2 linked regions of the Mus musculus genome follow. The main gene of each other region encodes a partner of the protein of the gene in region 2 in a complex. Links are inferred from orthologs where the notes say so. Each region holds a gene or a part of one and is shown on either strand. Other genes may lie near its edges.

The links. Proteins that work in one complex are often made in the same cells at the same time.
Region 1: Med26 (region 2) and Med8 share a complex: the UniProt entries of both Homo sapiens proteins name them as parts of the mediator complex. The link is inferred for Mus musculus from reciprocal best matches to the Homo sapiens genes MED26 and MED8.

What each region holds. Positions count from the first base shown.
Region 1 is NC_000070.6:118,407,873-118,412,146, forward strand, and holds the start of Med8 (mediator of RNA polymerase II transcription subunit 8), read left to right. Parts: upstream 1-1,464; 5' UTR 1,465-1,508; coding exon 1,509-1,514; exon of another isoform or gene 1,515-1,677; intron 1,678-3,012; coding exon 3,013-3,131; intron 3,132-3,653; coding exon of another isoform or gene 3,654-3,701; intron 3,702-3,785; coding exon 3,786-3,930; intron 3,931-4,274. Other genes in the region: KICSTOR complex protein SZT2, read right to left, coding at 1,291-1,317. UniProt on the Homo sapiens protein: Component of the Mediator complex, a coactivator involved in the regulated transcription of nearly all RNA polymerase II-dependent genes.
Region 2 is NC_000074.6:72,545,510-72,549,446, forward strand, and holds the start of Med26 (mediator of RNA polymerase II transcription subunit 26), read right to left. Parts: upstream 2,802-3,937; 5' UTR 2,458-2,801; coding exon 2,386-2,457; intron 706-2,385; exon of another isoform or gene 567-705; intron 1-566. UniProt on the Homo sapiens protein: Component of the Mediator complex, a coactivator involved in the regulated transcription of nearly all RNA polymerase II-dependent genes.

The sequences.
Region 1 (4,274 bases), on a different chromosome or scaffold from region 2:
TTTGTGGAAGGAGGTTAAATGCCCCACTAAATGTGACACTTCACTTACGCCTCTGCAACACCTATTATAATCCAATGTTCATTTAGTCCCCACAGCTAAGGAGTCTCTGTTTTACCCTCTGCATCCACCCTAACCCTCAGCACAATTCTGGTTGCAGAACAGCACTTGCTTCTTCCTCTCTTTTGGGAGCCTAGCCTCTCTAAACATCACCCTTTCTTCTTGGTATTCTGTTTCTACCCTATTCACTCATAGGGTTTTCATGTGTGTAGTTTATCACATCCTCCCCATACACGGGTGTGTGTACTCATACATTATACATATATAAGATCACACCCGTGTCAGAGTGCACGTGTGCAGGTCAGAGGACAACTTGTAGCTGTAGAGCGAGCTCACCTACCTGGGAGTTCTAGCCCCAATACTAGCTGCACAACTATGCTTCTTTTAATAGTGGCACCTCAGTTTCCTGAAAAGAGGGATGATAATGGTGTTTGCCTTATAGGGTTGAAAGAACTGGTAACAGTAAAGAGCTCAGAATTGTGGCTGGCATACAGTAAGAATTCGACAAGTAGCCATTGCTATTTGTATCGTTACGCACATGCATCAACCTTCCCTCCTACAAGGCTATCCCTCTGGGGTCCTGGACACGCTAGCCAAATTTGGTACCTCCTCGGATCCGCTCGTTCAGTTGGAAGGAGTAGTCCTAAGGTATCTTTGCATGGCATGACACCTCACCTGCTCTGACTTCAGTTGTCTGCTCTGTACATGACAATAAATACTGCCAGATTCCCTGCTGGAGTCTGAATGTCAAAACATACATATAGGGTTCTTTGCATCTAGGGGGTGGGGGGTGGGGTGGGGGGGCGGGTGCCTCGTCTGCCTTTTCTGCCTTAACTTGTGATCCCCAAGCCACATCACAGAACAAATACTTTTATAAAGAAGGAAGCAGGGTCTGTCCTAAGTTAAGACTGGCCAGAGGGTTGTAGGGCTTTGCCAAGAGCACGAACGCTAGAGCGAAATCAACTCATGCTATTGATTGCATTCCAATAGATGAGATACAAAAAACCCCGCAAAGTCGGTCAGCTTCGGCGTGGCACAATGAAAATCCCAACTAATAACCAAAACACGAGTTTTTATCAGCATCACTATCGCTAACAAGTCTGTGGATGGGCGACGAAGATCAGGATGGCATCTGAGTAAACAAAACAGCAACGGCCTCCTTGAGGCTCCGGAGGGTGAAGGCTGCCACACGCCCGCCCTCGGGCCTCGGCCCCGCGCCCGCCCATCCCTCACCTCTGGCTCGGGGCGCTCCGAGGCCATCACACAGCCCTCCCGCGCCGGCCCGGGCCAGGGAGGTTGCTCCACTCCTGACCTCTGACCCGGCTAGTTCTGTACCGGGCAGGAACCGGAAGTTGTTGGGATGGTCCCGTTTTGAGTTTTCTGATTGGTGAGCGCAGCAAGCCGTGCGAGAAACCGGAAAGGGAAGTGGTTGCGCCCGCCGGGCCGCGGCAATGCAGGTGAGAAGCGGGTTGGGCCTTATAGCCGCTGGCGGGAGGGTGATTGGGCTGAGGACACCGGGGAGTTGGGGCTGTGAGCGGAGGGCAGAGGAAAGGCAGCGGAGCCAGAGAGAGCGAGGCCAGCTGCGGGAGGCGCGGGCATCGAGCCCGCTGATGTGAGAAGGTCGGAGGCCCGGGGAGGAAAGGCGGACTTGATTGAGCGTGGAAAAGGATCGTGGTGGCATTTGGGAAGGCTCGGGAAAGTAGTGGGCTGCCGCACGCCTCGATCTAGGCTGTTGGACACAGGCGTCATAAGGCTTCAGAAGGCTAAAGGGATCGTGGGCCTCCAAGGATGAAAACTAAGCTGTTTGTAATTCGAGGCTGTGGGTGGAACCCGGTGTCCAACCCCCTCAGTCACATAGTCAGGTTTGCAAATCAGCTTTGCATCATTCTTCCCGGCTTGTACCTCGTTGCTAAGGGCGGAGAAGTGGGGTAAATAGTCCTCAGATAGTCAAACGGAAACCCTCTGCCGCCTCAGCGTTTAAAATTGTCTAACACTCAGAAACAATGTGCAGGTTTCCTCGCCTTTGTCTTTCATTACTCTTTCATTACTCACTTGGCTTGTTGCATCTGATAAACCTACACTGTTTATGGGTCACCCGAATTATGAAAGAGACACGGGAATATTGGCACAAAGATGCACGTTGACTTTCCAAAGCACCAAATGCTATGGATAAACGGCCAGTTGGGGGACCGGGAAGGGGATTGCAGAGCTGGTATTCAGAGAAAACCTTACAGAGAGGCAACGTGTGAGATTGTCCAGATTGTGTGGTTGACAGTAGCTACACTCACAAGAGGATGACCAGAGGCACCCATGATATAATGAACTTCGGGAATTATTTAGGCTGTGTGTGCAGATAGCACCCCTGTTATCATGGCAAACCTTTCTGAGGTGAACTGAACTTCCTGAAAAAAACAAAACAAAACTGTGTCAATGCCAACACCACAGAGTGACACGAGGGATTCTCATCCACCCAAGGAAAGCAGCGCAGTGACAATAAGCAGTCGTGAGGTAGGCAGGCCACATCTATTTTCCAGAAGAGGAACTGACAAAGAAGAGTGTGCAGAAACCTGAGCACGTTCCTATTAACCCTACTGCAAATCTAAGAGAATGTTGTCTACTGGGAGAGGCAGTGTTTGAGAGCTGGGAGGAGGAGAGCATGGAATTAAAAAGGTGCAAGGCTAAGTGAGTTCGAAGCCAGTTTTGTTACAAAGACAAATCATGAGGTTTCAAGCCAAAGAGAATTAGGTCTGGTGCAATGACCTTCTTGAAGGACCACAGTGTAGGAGGGTTATAGAGGAATCAGTTAGTAGGAGGACTTCAGGCCAGGTGAACAGGTTGAAAGGTCTAAGGGTTGATGCTATCTGTAACCCAAATACCAAGATAGAAAACAATTTAGCTTTTCTGAATGTGTCACGCTCACTTGTATCTGAGTAACCAAACACACTGTTGATGCAGAGGGAGGAGAAGCAGCTTGAGGCATCATTAGATGCCCTGCTGAATCAAGTGGCCGATCTGAAGAATTCACTGGGGAGTTTCATTTACAAGTTGGAAAACGAGTATGACCGGCTGACCTGGTAAGGATTGCCAGGACAAGCTGGGGAGGGATCCATGGGTGGTGGGGCCAAGCCCCCTGGCTGACAGGACATCTCCAGCGATGTACCCATTTATCAACTTGCAAATATCCTTTTTGATTTGGAAAGAACTAGGTTGCCCAACATTGACAAGTTTAGTTTGGCTTAAAGCCTCCATGGCAAGGAAGTAGAAAAATGTCCAGTTTCCCAACCTAGGCTGTTTCTAGGTTTTAATTCTTACGCTTTGGCTTCCTTAGTGAGGAGGCATTTCCTCAGTGGAAGACCATTATAGCTCCATTTATGGTGGCTCTCCTTCCACACATGAGGCTGGATCTGAGATCCAGCCTTCTGGAATGATAGAGTCTGTTACTACATTAGGGAGGAGGCTTTACAGACTTACTACAGTGTAACCACAGCCCCTGTTTCCACTGCTCCCAAACCCAGTCAAACAGTGGGTTGCCTTTTTTCTGTATCTATGTCAAAAATTGAAAGTGTGTTCCTCTTTCCCAATTCCATCTCTACTAGCAAATCTGGTTCTTGCCTATGCCAGACACAGGGCTGCGAGTCTTCGGGGTGAGTCTGAGTGTTGCAGCATTAGGACTTTTAGAGGTTACTTTGTAGGGAGAAGTAACTCTGGTGACTTCTCGCCACCTCCAGGCCCTCTGTCCTGGACAGCTTTGCATTGCTTTCTGGACAGTTGAACACTCTGAACAAGGTCTTAAAGCATGAGAAGACGCCACTGTTCCGAAACCAGGTCATCATCCCTCTGGTGCTGTCCCCAGACCGAGACGAAGACCTCATGGTAAGACACACAGTATCTTGTTGACTGGATCCTCTGTGTGGCCATGAAAGGTGAGGGCTGCCGTCTGGAAGACTTGTTTTTATCCTTCTGGGGTCAGGAGAGTCCCCCTTAAAGAATGAAGTGAAAATCAGGGCCTATCTCACCAAGTCCACGACCTTCCTTTTCCAACATCTATGTCAGGCAAAAAGAAAAAAGTCTGTCCTGCTTGCCTGTGACTTTGCTGCAGTCTTTAAAATGTGGGGTTGAGAATTTAGCTCAGTGGTAGAACAGACACAAAGTCCTGGGTCCCCAGAATAGGGGTGGAGGTAGAGATTCACAAAAGACCAAAACAAAACAGCAAAAAA
Region 2 (3,937 bases):
TTACCTGGGCCCTGAGCAATCACGGAAACAGTGCAAATGTCCAGGGACCCTTCAATACCACAGCAAGAAATGGAGGACAGTGCTCCAGGCTGATTCTACAAAGAGATTCTGCAAAGCCAGCCCCTGGCACATATACCTAGTTGTTTTTGTGGGTGGTCACTGACAGTGCATTTTGGGAAACACTTCCCTCCTCACTCAGAGACAAGTTCTCAACTCCATCCACCACAATAAGGTCTCCCTTTGAGATATACACTCCAAGCAACTTACCCACAGGCCAAAGAGCATAGTAATACTTATGACCAAGGGAAAATTCAAGAAACTAATGTTTGGGCCAGGCATGGTGGCATATACCTTTAATTCCAGCATTTGGGAGGTAGAAGCAGACAGATTCTCTGTGAGACTACACTGGTTTACATACATAGTGACTTCCAGTGACTGTCTCAGAAAAAAACAAAACAAAAACCTAAAATTTGGGCTGTCTACCTTCCTTCTTTTACCCACAAAGGGTCTTCTAGTCAGACCTTACCTAACACTTGGACCCACCTGATCTATAGCATCATGATTACCTGTCAAAGCGCTTGCTGGTCCCAACACTCTCACATACAAGCAGTCAGGATCTCTGATAAGATCTCAAGCAAAGGAGTTACACAGGAGTTAAAATTTCCACTGTGGAAGAGATGAGCAGTGGTGGTGCAATCGTTTAATCTGGAAGAAGAGGCAGGAGAATCTCTGAGGCCAACCTAGTCTAAAGAGCAAGTTCAAGGATAGTCAAAGCTACATAGAAGAGGAATCCTTCTTGAAAAACAACATCAAAAAATTATACTGTGTACACTATGGCTTCAGCAAAGATGCAAAAGCCATCAAGGCTATGTTTTCCTATCTCTTGTTTTTACCTTTTAATATCCTAATATATCAATCATGTGATTACAGTCAGTAATACCAATCACTGGCAAACAAAACAACAACAAAAAACCCAACAAAACCTTAAACCAAAAAAAGAAAAAAGAAAAAAATTTAAAAAGGCTTTCTAGAAGATTTTTATCTAGCCTGTCCCTATTCTACCTCGAGAAAATGTCTACAGTATTTACTAAATTACTATCAAGGTGATCTTAAAGACCAAGAAGAAAATAATTTTGGATCCAGCAAGCAGATCTCATAGAAACTAGAGCACCTCTATTTCTACCAAGACCACACAAACAATGTGAATTATTCTGAACACACCACAATACAGTGTACATTGTACATTGCTAAGAGTAACTGGTCAAGCATAGTCAAGGGAACTCAAAAGACTCAAACCTCGGTTACCTGTCCAAGCCCAAGATGATTTTTCTTCCATCCCGAGCATATTAAAAAGTGATCTCAAAGGCCACTTCCTGGTCTCCCAGCAAACACCTCATATCTGAATGCCTGTGCATCTTCCCATGGCCCTGCTCCTAACAGCAACAAGGATACCCGCCCCCTACACTGCCAACAAACCTTTGGGAAAAATACAAGAACAGGTGAAATTAGTCTATGCTCACACAGGAAGAAAAAGATGTCCCTCTGCTCACAGGACTCTTAGCAGAGGAAAGTGTGACATAAAGTAACCCCTTACAATTAAATCTTGACAGGCTAGGGCCCAAAGCACCTCAGGAGGGGCAAGAGAGAGATGGAAAGAGGACCGGAAGGTAGGAATAAGAGAACAATCAACTATGACGGGCAGTAACTCAGTACCAAAATCCCATGCTTTAGCTTCTGGTCAGATGCGCAATGGAGCATTTAGGCCAAGAAAGATGACAGGAAGGATCCCACTCTCTGCAGGGTCGTCTTTTCTAGAAAGACCCCAGGAAAGGTTTGTCCACTATCAGAAAAAAGAGGAGACTCTCCAGGCATCACAGGTAGACAGACTGGGGGCAGAACGGGCCTAGGGTTCCCTCCTAGCCAAGAAGGAGGTTCAGCCAGGAGACCGAAGGGGAGTAAAGGCCAAGACTCCGGAGACGCGGGCTACTCTAGTCATCGCGGAGACACTAGTTGCTTCCCACCTTGCCCCCGGCAGGGAGACCTTCCCGGGGGGTTCTCAGTTCCCAGGGTTGAGGTGAGGCAAGGAGGCACGGTGGGGACCACCAAGGGCGGTCGGGCTGGGACAACGGAGAAGAACTAGCTCTGATCAAAGCTCCAAACGCTCCCTCAGTCCAGGCCGCGTGAAGCCTCGGCCTCAGGTACCCTCAGCTGCCGGGCAATCCGCCTTGCCTGCGGTCCCCGGACCCAGGAGAAAGAGAGACCGAGATGGCAGTGGCTGTGGCGGGCAGATCACCGCCTGGAGAGAGCCCCTAGCCGGGGGCGCGTCGGAGGGGGAGGGTCTCGACACATGCGGCCTCGGTCCCCGATCGCGAGGCAGTCACTTACGTTGCTCTGGGAGTCGATGGCCTGTAGCAGCCGGTCCCTCATCTGCTGCGGAGACGCCGGAGCCGCTGTCATTGCCTGGGCGAAGCGGGGGGGAGCGGCCGGGCCGGCGGGCGGGCAGGCTGAGGAGGGGGAACGCGGGTCAGTCACTCGCCGGCCTCCGGGAACGGAGCCGCATGTTCCCCGCGGCGCCGGAGGAGGTCAAGGCGCTCGGGGAGATGGCGAGGACGGAGGGAAGCGGAGGGGACCGGAGCTCAGGCCCCGGACCACCGCCGCCACCGCCGAGCGAGGAGGAGGAGCCGACGGAGGAGCCTCCGCCACCACCGCCGCCGCCGCCTCGAGAACCAAACTCCAGTGAGCTGCCCCCCGCGCTGAGCACTCTGGGTAACCCGCGCCGCACGCAGCGTCGGCGCCACGCTGAGGAGGTTGGGAGATGGGGCGGGTGGAGACGCCGGGTTTGGGAGGGTCCGGCTCGTGAGCCCCTCCTATTGATTGTGCGCACGCGCGCGCAGGCGCAATTAGCAGGTCCTGCCGCCTGGTTCCGAGGTCCGACACAGAGGGCCGTTGGGAGGCAGTTGGGCGTGGCAACGGACGCTATCTGAAGGCCACGCCCACTCGGGACTGGAGGGATGGGCTTCCTAACGGAAGCGCACCCTTCAAGTCCTGGAACACCGACTCTATCTTCTGACTGCTTTGGGGTTGCGGAATGGAAAGACCCTCCCCCGGATGAGGGCCTCCTGCGTTTAGAAACCAGAGGATTGGAGCGGCCATAGGTAATCTGAGGAAGGCAGCGGTTCCCTGCGTTTAGACTCGTGCCTCGAGGAGCTCGGAGGAGCTCCGCACAGCCTTCTCCGCTGCAGAGGCCCCAGGCGCGGGTCTGCAGGGCAGTGCGTGTCCCCATGTGACCCGCGTGCTGCGGGGACCTAAGGTCACGTCTGGGAGCTGCCACCTCTGCAGAGGACGCAAGTCTGCAAGGCCTGCGCGACGCTGACACCTCGGGTCTGCATCCGTGCGGGGCTGGAACTCAAGAGGAAGCACCGCTTTTGTCGCCTTCCTAGAGGCGGGGGGGGGGCGGGGGGGGCTGGAGGTGGCCAGCCTGTGTCTGAACAGCAGGATGCGGAACCGTCGCCCAGCATCTTCCCCTTGGCGTTCCGAGGGGACGGAGCGACCCCGCCTTTGCATCTCAGGTGATGGAAAACAGGAACGCCTCACGGGGGAGGAAGGGAAGCACCAAGGTCACCTGGAGTTTTAAGTCAAACCAAGAAACGAAGGAAGTCAAGTATAAAGGCTGCGGTCCTCCGTCCTTCGGTGACCCCTACAACTGGACAGATGGAGGGCGGGCTCCGAGTTTAGTGCACTATACGAAAGTGGCCTCGGGAGAAATAACTTCGTGTAGTGTTGTAACCTTAAAAATCCAGACATGAAACGGAAGGGAAACAGGTAATGAAAACCACATGTACTTCTGAGAGCTGCTCAACACCTGTTAATTTTAAATTTGTCATACTTCGGGGGGGGGGTACTGGGGGAGGTGAGGAACCAGGCATTTAATTCCAAC